Linked DNA regions of Ovis aries. The protein of the gene in region 2 interacts with the protein of the main gene of each other region in a pairwise test. Links are inferred from orthologs where the notes say so. Each region holds a gene or a part of one and is shown on either strand. Other genes may lie near its edges.

Region 1 (4,311 bases), on a different chromosome or scaffold from region 2:
ATACAAGTTTAACAGAAAGAAAAGAAATGCCTACTCTATTTTTTTTTCAGGCTTCTGGCACCTTGGCCTGTGTTGCAGCCCTGAAGCCTGAGCAGGCCTGGTCTCCAGGCTGGAGGGTGGTAAAGCTAAGGGGGCGAGGGAGGCTGTGTCATCAGAGAACCTCCCTTGGCCCCGCAGTGCCTGCTCCGCTAAGACCACAGTCTCCAGATCCAGTCAGACCCTCCTCTAGCTAAGCCAAGCCTAGCGTACCCAAAGGATGGTGGATTCTGTGAGCTAGAAGTTTTTTTTTTTTTTTCCCTGACATTTTTAGTTATTTTTAACAATTTTCTTGGCCACACCACATGGAACGCGAGATCTTAGTTCTCCAACCACGGATGGAACTCGGGCCCCTTGCCCTGGAAGTGTGAGTCTTAACCACTGAACTGCCAGGAAAGTCCCAGGGCTGGACGAGCTTTGTAAATTCACCCGGTTTTCAGGTCTCCCAGTTGAGGGGTTCCCTCCTCCAACCTTCTGCCTTAGACTCACCCTACCAAGAGCACCCTCAGCACCCTCACTGTAGCCGGTTTTCAGGGCTCTGGATTTGTCTGGGGTGGGGGAGGATAAGGTGGAAGAAATAAGAAGACACAAGCCCTTGGGTGTTGTTTCTGGCACATCCCATTCTAAGTTACAACCCAGGAATGGGACTTTTCCCCTAAGGCTCTGGTTGCCCAAGGAATCAAGAGTTGGGCAGGGAGAAATGCTGCCACCTTGTGGTCATTTCTTATAACAACAAATTGAAAATTGGTGCTTCTGGGCACTTGATATTCACAAGGCTTTATTTTATTGTTTAGCGGCTAAGTGGTGTCCCACTCTTTGGCAACCCCATGGACTGTAGTCCACCAGGCTCCTCTGTCCATGGGATTTCCTAGGCAAGAATACTAGAGACGGTCACCATTTCCTTCCCCACGGGATCTTCCCAACCCAGGGACTGAATCAATGTCTCCCGTATGGCAGGAGTTTTCTTTATGGTTGAGCCGCGGGGAAAGTCCAAGCTATGGCCTATAACTGCATTAACAATGTCTACTTCAGGGACTTCCCTGGTGGTCCAGTGGGCCAAGATTTTGCACTCCCAATGCCAGAGGCCCAGGTTCCATTCCTAGTCAGGAACTAGATCACACACGTTGCAAGGAAAATCAAAGATCCCAAGTGTCTACCGCTGAATACCTAAATAAATAATAATGTTCACTTCCTAGGGCTGGCCACAGGACTGGTAGCTCCATGGGGTAGCTTTCCCTATCAAGAAGCCACACTGAGAAATCTCACCAGACAGCTTAATTCTGTGATAAAACCAACAAGAGCAAGCTTTAATGGGACTTAATCCTCTCTTGTTACTTGGGTTAATGTATTTACCTCTTGATAATCATCTAGTCCTTGATTACCTTCTGACAGAACAAGGCACAATTTGTGGGGTAACTAACACTTCCTGCTGCACCTAAATCAATGCAACAGCAAAGAGAAAAGTTAAATAGACACCCAAGCAGCAATGGCTTCACAATTTTGGCAGGGGCGCTGTCGCCTTCGCTGTCTGGTCAGCAGTTAGGGAAGCCCTGTCAAAGTTATCCTGGTTCCTTCCCTTCCTAGACCCTTGAGTGAAGCAGTCTCCAACCTTTCTGGCACCAGGCACTGGCTTCCTGGAAGGTAATTTTTCAGTGGGCATGGGGTAGGGGAATGGTTTCAGGTCGACTTGAGCACATTACATTTATTGTGAACTTTTTTTCTATTACTACACCAGCTCCATCTCAGATTGTCAAGGCATTAGATCCTGGAGGTTGGTGACCCCTGCTCTACTGGCTTTTTACTGTTCTCCTTTTTGGCCCTTGTCTGTTTAACCCTTTGGTTAAGTTTGTGTCTTCTAGGTCCCAACAGTTTTCAAGTAAGGCTCAGGATGGCTCAAGGATTTCAACCGATTCCAGCTGAGGGGAACCCAGGTCCCCGAAAGCAGTCAGCGAGGGACTTCTGCACCTCTAGGGTAGGCTAGGATCTGCGGTTTCAGAAGAGAACTTCAACCCCTTAACCCTTAAGAAGAAAGGGTGTAGAACCCCCTAGAGGGGAATCAGACATGGGACCCTATGCTGTAGTACTTCACCTGGACAAACATCTCTTGGAGCAACGGACTACAGAGAGATTGTAAGGCAGCAGTCCCCTGACCATTTGGGCAACAGGGATTGGTTTCATGGAAGACAGGTTTTTCCAGGGACCAGATGGGAGGGATGGGGTTGATTTCAGCTGGTAAAGCAACCAATGGAAAGACGCAGAGGAAGAAGCTTTGCTCGCTGGCTTGCCCTCCACTCACTTCCTGCTGTGCAGTCGGGTTCCTAACAGGCTACAGACCAGTGTCAGTCCTAGGCCTGGAGGTTGGGGAATCCTGCTGTAAGCAACTAAAAGCAACTATATAAACCTGCGGTTGGGGCAAATTATAAACAAGATACAAAAAAGACACCCCCCCAAAAAAACAGACCAGAAAACCAATTGCCACACCACCACAAGGGGGCAGGCTGACCACCTAAGCCACCCTACTGCCTGAACCATGGATCTGACCCTACCCTCACCCCATTTAAGGAACCAACTCACCCCTCCTGCCCTCCTTCCCCACCCCCAGCACAAGCAAGGGAGAGCACCTGTTGCTAGTTGGGCACCTGTGGCTTATTTTCACTCCCTTGTTCTGCAGCATGAGTCCTTGAAGCCTTGCCTGAATTTCTCATCTGGCCTCTTATCAACTTCTATTGATTAAAGAGTCCAAGAACCTGGGTCGGTAACACTAAGACCAGCAATTGTCTGCTGGGGCCATTCCAGCTTTGGCTGAAAATGTGTTTATTGCATTAGTACAGTCGGCCTGCCCCACCCCACCCACCCAGCCTGTTCACAGCTTTCTGCTCATTGCCCAAAGAGGTGGTCCTTCTCCCAGGGTGGGCATTCCGGGCACCACTCCCACCCAAGTACCCGGGGAACCCTGCTTCTCTGCTGCCTCCCGACCAGCCGGACCCTGTGCTCAGCCTAGGCCGCCCCTATTGGGGTTACATTCAAGGGTTATCCTCTTGTTAATAAATAAGCCAGCATGGCTGCCCCTTGGCCAGGGCCTGTCGGTCGGTGTCTTCCCTCCATCAGGAAACGCCGGCCCCTAGCCGTCTCCCAGGGTCTGAGCGCCCCCTCTCCCTCCTGCCGCCTCCTCCCCAGTCCCCAGCGTGGGGACGGCCAAGTCACCAGTCCGCTGCGCTGCGCGGGCCCCGCTCAGCCCGCAGCTCTGGGGCGTGTGTCCTCCGGTTGCGGCCCTTTCTCCGTGACTCAGGGACCTGTGGGCGCGGCGCGGGCTGCGGGCGACACATTCGCAGGGAGTTCGCACCACCGCCGCCGGGCTCCACCAGCTGCAGAAAGTCCCGGTACCAGAGCTTGGGGCCCGGCGGGGCGACTGGCGCAGTATCCTCGGCCCGGGCCAGTCTTTCAGCCTGTGCTGCGCTCAGCACGTGCAGCGCCAGGCGACGCAGTGGCTGCGAAAAGCCCTGCTCCACCGCTGCACACAGGTACACGCCGGAGTCCCCACGCCGTAGCCCGCGCAGCAGCAATCCCCTCCTCGAGCGCTCCGCCCGCTCCTCCGCAGGCACCTGCCGGTGGATCAGCGGGAGGCGAGGATTTTAGGGAACGGCGGGGGGGCGGAGCTTATCTGCAAGTGAGGGCGGGTCGGAGAGCTCAGTGGGCGAGGAGAGGGCAGGGCTTCTCTCCGACCGGGCAGGGATGTTAGGCGCCTAGTTAGAGGAATGGGGCCTCACCTGGATGCGGAGTTGCGGGCCAGGGACCAAATTGGGCGTTAGGGGTCTGATTGGCCTGAGACTCACAGGGTGGGGCTGGATCGCATGTAGACGTGCGGAGCGGGCTAAGGGCCTCATTAATCAGGGCTGGCACTTTCTGGACATTAGGGTTGGAACCGGGCCTGTTTGGAGAGGGGGTAGGGGGAGGCTCACCTGAGTGTAGGGAGACTCCCCCGCGCGCTGGAAGGTCCACTCCACGTGCGCCTGCAGCGAGCGGGGCTCACACTCCAGGAAGGCGCTACCTCCCTCCACACCCAGCACCTTCTGCTCCAGCAGCGCAGGGTGGGATGAGTCTGGGGGCAAAGCGAATGTCAGATTCTGGCAAAGCAGGACAGGGTGGGGCAGTCTTTAAGCGCTGAGGGATGAGAGCAGCTGAGACACTCACCCCCGGAACACAGTGTGCTGGGGTCGCCGTTCCTTACGTCCTGCCGTCGGAACCGCCTGGGGATCGGGGGTCATTAGAGCCTCC
Region 2 (3,646 bases):
CGATCACGGCCATCAGCTGGGCCAGCTGCTCTCTCTGCTCATCCCCAGAGGCCCGATTGTTGAAGGCGCAGTACCTCCGCCCGACCTCCCGGACCAGGCTCCTCAGCCTGAGGTTATCTGTGTTTGCCACGTACTCATCCAAGGATCCGCCCGCCAAGTCCTCCTTGTGAGTGAAGAGGATGACCATGTATCTCTCGGCTCCTGCCCCAAAGACCTCCTTCACCCTGGTCACGGCCACCACGTCCTGCTCGGTGAAGCGCCCCAGCTGGGTCACCAGCAGCAGCACGTGGGGCCCTGGCACTGACAGCAGATAGCAGGACCCAATGTTCTGGTACACCTCTTGATCCTGGGCCCCGGCCTCAAAGATGGGGGGTGTGTCCACCACCAGGATGCTCCTCCCATTCCACCTGCCTGTTGCCCTCTGACACTTCCTGGTCACCGACTGGGCCCCCAGCTTGGACTCAAAGACGGGCTGGCAGAGGATGCTGTTCCCAGTGGCACTTCTCCCGCTGCCTGTTTTTCCTACCAGGATGATCCTCAACGAGGAGGAGGGTTCAAAGCCCTGATGTTCTGTAAAAGAAAAAAGAGAGAGAGAGAGAGAGAGAGAGAATTATCTTGTTTTACCATACTAGTGATTCTTTTTTTTTTTTTTAATTTTAAATTTTTATTTACTCTTGAAGCAGATAACAAGCTGGCTGAAAACTCAATATTCAGAAAACTAAGATCATGGCACCAGTCCCAACATTTCATGGCAAATTGATGGGGAAACAATGGAAACAGTGAGAGAGTTTATTTTCTTGGGCTCCAAAAGCACTGCAGATGGTGACTTCAGACATGAAATTAAAAGATGTTTGCTCCTTGGAAGAAAAGTTATAACAAACCTAGACTGTGTATTAAAAAGCAGAGACATCACTATGCCAACAAAGATCTGTTTAGTCAAAACTATGGTTTTTTCCAGTAGTCCTGTATAGATGTGAGAGTTGGACCATAAAGAAGTTTGAGCACCAAAGAATTGATGTTTTTGAACTATTCTCTCCAACTGTGTTGGAGAAGACTTTTGAGAGTCCTTTGGACTGCAAGGAAATCAAACCAGTCAATCCTAAAAGAAATCAACTCTGAGTATTCACTGGAGGGACTGATACTGAAGCTGAAACTCCAATACTTTGGCCACCTGAAACGAAGAAGAGCTGACTCAGTAGAAAAGACCCTGATGCTGGGAAAGACTGGAGGCAGGAGGAGAAGAGGACAACAAAGGATGAGATGGTTGGATGGCATCATGGACTCAGTGGACGTGAGTCTGAGTAAAGTCCGGGAGATGGTGAAGGACAGGGAAGCTTGGTGTGCTGCAGTCCATGGGGTCTCAGAGGAGGACATGACTGAGCGACTGAGCAACAAGATGATGAGCACTGTTGTTTCAGTTCCAGGTGTGCAGCAGAGTGAGTCAGTCATTCCTATGTGTGTATCTTTTCTTTTTCAAATTCTTTTCCTATTTAGATTATTTAGAATATTGAGCAGAGTTCTCTGTGCCATACAGTAGGTCTCTGTTGGTAAAGCTAGTGATTCATAAGATTTTTCTGTCACTGACCTTTCATGGTATCTCATGAAAGCTATGGACCTCTCTCTGCCAAACAGTGATATGAAAATCGTACAGGTGTTTGCATACAACTTTGGGTGGCTCTTGACTGGTAGGAAGCCCACATTGGGAGCCCAAGCTTGGACCCATAGCCAAGAGCCAGAACAGCTACACTATGAAGGATGCTCCAAGGACTTCTTCAGGACCAATGAAAATACAGGTTTTCAGAAAGAAAAGTGATCCTTTGCTTTTCCCATGATGTTACTTAGGCCAGTTTCATGCTAATCTCAGGTGAAATTACAAGGAGGTGAGGATAAATCATAAATGAGAAAATATTATCATCTGCTTTTCACCCACCAGTTCCCAGGCACACAGACTGCTCATCACAGTCATCTGAACCCTGGGAGTAAAGGAAGTCTCAGATGTTAGAGTCTCAATGACCTCCCACTGAGGACCAGCCGAATGTCCCTGGGTTTCTGCTCTTAGGGTAGGGATTTGAATATTGGGAAGGCTTGTGGTTAATGTCAGGGACAGAGTCTGACAGATGACCCTGGATGGGTGGCTGAAGAAGAGATGATAAGAATGTTAGAAATACATATTTTGGAAAGATCATTGCTGTCGCTGATAGAATTATAAGAAATTATAACAAAAGTGGTGTTGGCGAGGTCACTCTGTACCAAGAGCTAAGTCTTCTAGGGATGAAGAGAGTGAGAATGCAAGGATTTCTGGAGTTCTTATAAGCTCAAATGAATTAAATTCATTCTAGGCTCCTAAAATCTGTTATTTTACGCCTATACAGTCCATGGAATTCTCCAGGCCAGAAAAATGGAGTGGCTAGCTATTCCTTTCTCCAGTGGATCTTCCCAACCCAGGGATCGAACCAAGCTCTCCCTCATTGCAGGTGGATTCTTTACCAGATGAACCACCAGGGAAGCCCAAAGAACACGATAGCTACCTTTTTCTCCTGCAGTTTAAAATAATTGGGTTTCTCTTCTGTCTTAATATTTGAGGTCAGGGAGTGGAGGAGGGAAGACAGTGATTTTCGCCTGGTGCCCAGAAAGTTTGAGAATTTGGAGGGTTTCTTACCTTCAGCCATGGTTCCGTATCTGCTCCTCTGAAGTCCTTCCATTCGCTTCTGGAATAAAAGGAAGAAAGGAATAAAAGCAAGTGTCCTTATAGGAGCTGGTAAGGCCTGAGAACACCTCCAATTTAGACAGCCAAAATAATTATCCTTACATGAGTCATTTCCATTGCTAACTTTCTAACTTATACTTTGCTTTCAAATATCCATATATAACTTTAAGCAAGGCGGGTGATGCTAGGTTATGTTAACACAGTGAACTCTTGCTTTTTTCTCATTCTACAGGAAAGCAAGAAATGTTTGAATACACATCAGTTGATTATCTCCCTTCAAGCTGAAAAGGTGTGAAATATAGAAAGCCTTCCTCTAGGAATGAGAAGCCGGGCTTTTTATTATTTTATTATTATTATTATTAGAATCAGAGTAGGCAAACTTGCTAGACTAGAGAATAAAAGTTGCCTTACTGTAAATGAATAGTGCTTTGTTGAATTACCAGGCATTTCCAATCCCAGAAACTCTTTGTATCAGATGAATATTCCAGTGGCAAAGAGGAAAGTACAATGCACCTTCCAGTGGGAGTGTGGAATTGGGGTCCAGGGCTCCTTTGAGGATGGACATGAGAGGGAGAAGGGGAAGAGGCCCGAACATGGTCACCACCTCCTTCCCTCTGAGCAGCTGGGGGGAGAGAAACTGGTGCCCTGACTGAGGGACAGCAGCAACATTTGGGACAAATTCAGGATAAAGTCATTGCCTGCTCAGTTTTAAATCAAATGTCTTTAAATCAATAGCCACTTTTAAAAATCCCAGTCAATGTCACCAGAAATTGGCAAAACCGTGGAGATAAAGGTTTCATTCAGCTGAGGCATGCTATTGTGTCATTCTTCTTGGTGCTAGAAAAGATAAGCGTCCATTAGAAAAGGCAAGCCTGCAATGTGCAACTATAATTAAGATGAACTCTGAGCCTGTATTTTACTTCGTCAGTTTTAAAGATT
Region 3 (3,646 bases), on a different chromosome or scaffold from region 2:
AGATGGATCAGGAAGCTCAGAGACTAGGGAGGAGCCCTTCAGGCTGTGAAGGCAGAAGGCCAGGCTGGGCTTGACCTGGAACTGGTTGGCTGATTTTCAAGAACATATTCTTAAACTTCTAAGCTGCTGACATCAGGTGGTTGGAATGCCGACAAGGTGTCTGGTGTAGTTGGGGAGGCCCAGGACCAGGTGAATAGACCTCACTGCCAGCTCATGTCAGCTGACTATTGGGCTTGGCTGTGGTGACCCTCTGTCTCCTAGGGAATGGGGAAAAATAGCCACAGCTCAGTTCTCTTGCTAAAAGCAGGCCCTAGGGCAAAGTTTTTCTATTCATGGGAGGGGGCTGTGAATGAAAAGCCCCCAGAACCTCCAGGGTCTCCTCACAAAAGAAAGCCTCAGCAAACTTAGCAGGGAGCAAACTCAAGGGTGGCCTTCCCTTCTTCCCAGCAAGACAGCAATTCCCAGCCAACCTGGTTTTCTCGAGTTCCAGCTTTATCAGCAGCACCTGCAAAATAGGACAGGCCAGTCAGAGGGCATGCTCTGTCTACTTGCTTCTCTTCATCTAGGCAGCCAATGGCACTGAGCTTTTGCTCCCTGTCTGAGCCAAGCCAGGCTCAGTCTGAGCCTTTTGCCAAGCATCAACTGAGCCTTATTTTCCACAACTCAGAGCTGGAGGGAGTCAGGGTGCGGGGCTCTGGAGTGGGAGATGACACCCCTTTCTTCTCTGACTTGTCCCTGACCTGCATCTTCAATGCGCCCAGCACCCAGCAGGAAACTGGCCCCTCGTCAACAATGGCCCAAGGCAAGTGCCACTGAGCACCCGTGGTGACAGAGGAGAGTGCATTCCTGCCACCGTGGGACCCCAAGACAATGGTACTTGCTTCTTTAGCCTTTTGTTCTCTTTCTATTAATTTTCTCTGTAGAATGCATTGCCATTTGTACACATCTTGCTTCTTTAATTGTCATTCTCCTGTACGACATAAATTCCACCAGTCAATATATCTCTTGCACATAGAAAGTATGCAATGAATATTTGTAGAAAGATGGGATGAAAAAAAATTCCAAACTGCATTTCTTGGGGCCACAATGACACTGATTAGCTCTGTTTGAACTACCAGTCAAAGAATATGAGTCTTGTGGCAGTATTCTTGGACCCAGAGAAATCAGCTGTGAAGAGTCCATTTCTGTAAAAGCCCCAAGATGAGGGGAGCAGGAGAAGGAAACAGCAGCTGACCTAAGCCCCGGCAGTCTGACCCCTGTCAACTCTGACTAGGCAGGTTTGGATCTGCATCTGTGCCTTTGGGATGGCCTTCTGGGCCCAAGGGGAAAGATGCAAAGAGGTTAAATGCTATTCAAATGGGCAACGTGGTAGGGGAAGGATGTAGCACAGTAAGCACTTGATTCCTCAACAGACTGGTCTTGGTGCCTGTGTCTGCTTCTTCCACAGCCTGAGTGACTCATAAGTTTCCAACTCCTTGATTATCAGTGACTACTGGTCTAGCTCTATGGGAAAGGCACTTCAGAGTTCAGGGGATGAGACTACTCTAGGGCTTGTCATTCTGTCCAGCCCCGAACTTTCCTCTCCATGTTGTTGTTATTGTTTAGTCACTAAGTCGTGTCTGACTCTTTGTGACCCCATGGACTGTAGCCCACTGGGCTCCTCTGTCCATGGGATTTCCCAGGCAAGAATACTGGAGTGGGTTACCATTTCCATCTCTAGGGGATCTTCCTGGGCCAGAGATCGAACCTGCATCTCCTGCATTGGCAGATGAGTTCTTTACCTGGGAGCCACTAGGGAAGCCCATTCCTACCCTTTGCCTTTTTCTAATCAAACATCAGTATGTGAGGCTAGATGCTGGAAATCGGGAGACAAAATCCACAGGTCAAGAACAGGTATCTCTTCCTTGACAGGTTGGTATAAATATGAAGTTAGAGCAAGGCAGGCCCTACTGACTTGTTCAATTCCTAGCTCTCCACTGAGCTAGGAGACCACACACCATCAGTCGTGTCTGACTTTTTGCGACCCTAAGGACTGTAGCCCACCAGGCTCCTCTATCCATGGGATTCTCCAGGCAAGAATACTGGAGTGGGTTGCCATGCCCTCTTCCAGGGAATCTTCCTGACCCAGGAATCAAACCAGTGTCTCTTACATCTGCATTGGCAGGCAGATTCTTTACCACTAGCACCTCCTGGGAAGCCCCATAAATAAGAAGTTAGAGCAGGGCAGGTTCTACTGGCTTGTCCAATTCCTAGCTCTCCACTGAGCAAGGAGACCACATACTGTTATTTTAAACTGCTCTTGGGATCACCTGCTCCTGTTCTATTAGAGAACTTTTAAGGAACCTAGGATGGTGGAGAGATGGAGGAACTCACCAGAAGGTCCTTGGAGGCCAGGGGGTCCTTGAGGACCAGGAGGACCTGGAGGGCCGGGTGGTCCCATAACAGTTGTTCCTGGAATCCCAGGAATCCCTGGAATCCCTGGGGGTCCTTGGGGTCCTGGAGGTCCTGGAGGTCCTGGGGGGCCATTGGGTCCAGGAGGTCCTGCCTTCTTTCCTGAAAGATGAGATTCGGTATCACATTTATAATTACTGACTGAGTGTACTGTCGGGAGTTCCACAGCTTTCTCATGACACAAAGTTGGCCCTCCGGGAGTTCCTGCTCTTAAAGAGGTGTATACTGTTATCACACATCACACACACACACTTTGTTTCATGAATCAGCATTTACAGGCTGGGTTTGAAGAAATAATGACCCTCAAGGAATTTGGTCTTGTGTGGAAACAGACACAGTCACAGGACAGTAGAAATGTTGCATTAATTGTAGGGACAAAATGCTGGAGAGGTCAGGAAGCTTAAAAAAGGAGGTTACCGTTTGGCCAAGTCCAAAGGATCAGAATCACCAAGTGGGTAGACCTTAAAAAGTGGGCCACTTTTTACAATTGAGAACTGGGCTACTGTTGCAGAGCGTGGCTCTCATGTTTACTATCCAGGTTGGTGGGCTTGATGTGGATGAGGCTAGCAAGCTCGGAGGCCAGCTTGACCTTAGGATGACTATCAGCTCCAGGAAGGCTTCCTCTAGGAGTCAGGATGTACAGGGACTTGAGCTAGGATGAGGCTGGAAAGTAGAATTGGAAGGAGTCTGGGAAGATGAGAGGTGGTTGGGGGAGGGAGGAGAGAAAGAGCGAGAGAGAAGGCTCAAGTAACATAAGGAAAGAAGGGGTAGTGGAGACCAGAGGGAGCTGAGCTGTGGAGGAAGCAGCAGGCAGGTTTTGCTTTCTCAGCTCACCTCTCTAAACTCTACTTTTAAAGAGCTCTGGGAAAGGAAATTCTGCAGAATCCCTTGGTAACATGTTCCAATGTTTATCACCCCCTCACTGTTAGGAAGCTCTTCTGTATATTGAACTGAAATTCCTCCTGTGGAAGTTTAAGCTCTTATACTATTGTTTGTATAGGTAGAAAAGAATAGTTGCCATCATACAGACAATAACCCTAATGTGCTCAAGGACATTAAGTCACCTATCAACTTCTATTTTTATAGGCTAAATAATCTAGCTTCCCAGAGTCTTCTTTCCTCAGAGGCCCTATTCTTGAATGTATTTATTAATCAAGCCACCAGATCCTCCCCATTTCCTCCTTGCTCTCTTTTC

Evidence for each region.
Region 1: the proteins of GTPase IMAP family member 5-like (region 2) and LSMEM2 interact in binary tests that used the Homo sapiens proteins (3 or more experiments, as listed by UniProt). The two-hybrid records come from large-scale screens. The link is inferred for Ovis aries from reciprocal best matches to the Homo sapiens genes GIMAP5 and LSMEM2.
Region 3: the proteins of GTPase IMAP family member 5-like (region 2) and EDA interact in binary tests that used the Homo sapiens proteins (3 or more experiments, as listed by UniProt). The two-hybrid records come from large-scale screens. The link is inferred for Ovis aries from reciprocal best matches to the Homo sapiens genes GIMAP5 and EDA.

Annotation. Positions count from the first base shown.
Region 1 is NC_056072.1:50,135,367-50,139,677, forward strand, and holds the start of LSMEM2 (leucine-rich single-pass membrane protein 2), read right to left. Parts: upstream 2,878-4,311; 5' UTR 1-2,877. Other genes in the region: SEMA3B (semaphorin-3B), read right to left, coding at 3,237-3,638, 3,996-4,135, 4,228-4,283.
Region 2 is NC_056057.1:114,126,083-114,129,728, reverse strand, and holds part of GTPase IMAP family member 5-like, read right to left. Parts: intron 2,709-3,646; 5' UTR 2,703-2,708; coding exon 2,660-2,702; intron 571-2,659; coding exon 1-570. UniProt on the Homo sapiens protein: Plays a role in T lymphocyte development and the optimal generation of CD4/CD8 double-positive thymocytes. Inhibitor of GSK3A, possibly by sequestering GSK3A in cytoplasmic vesicles and impairing its translocation to the nucleus.
Region 3 is NC_056080.1:62,926,995-62,930,640, reverse strand, and holds part of EDA (ectodysplasin-A), read right to left. Parts: intron 2,554-3,646; coding exon 2,374-2,553; intron 506-2,373; coding exon 471-505; intron 1-470. UniProt on the Homo sapiens protein: Cytokine which is involved in epithelial-mesenchymal signaling during morphogenesis of ectodermal organs. Functions as a ligand activating the DEATH-domain containing receptors EDAR and EDA2R. May also play a role in cell adhesion.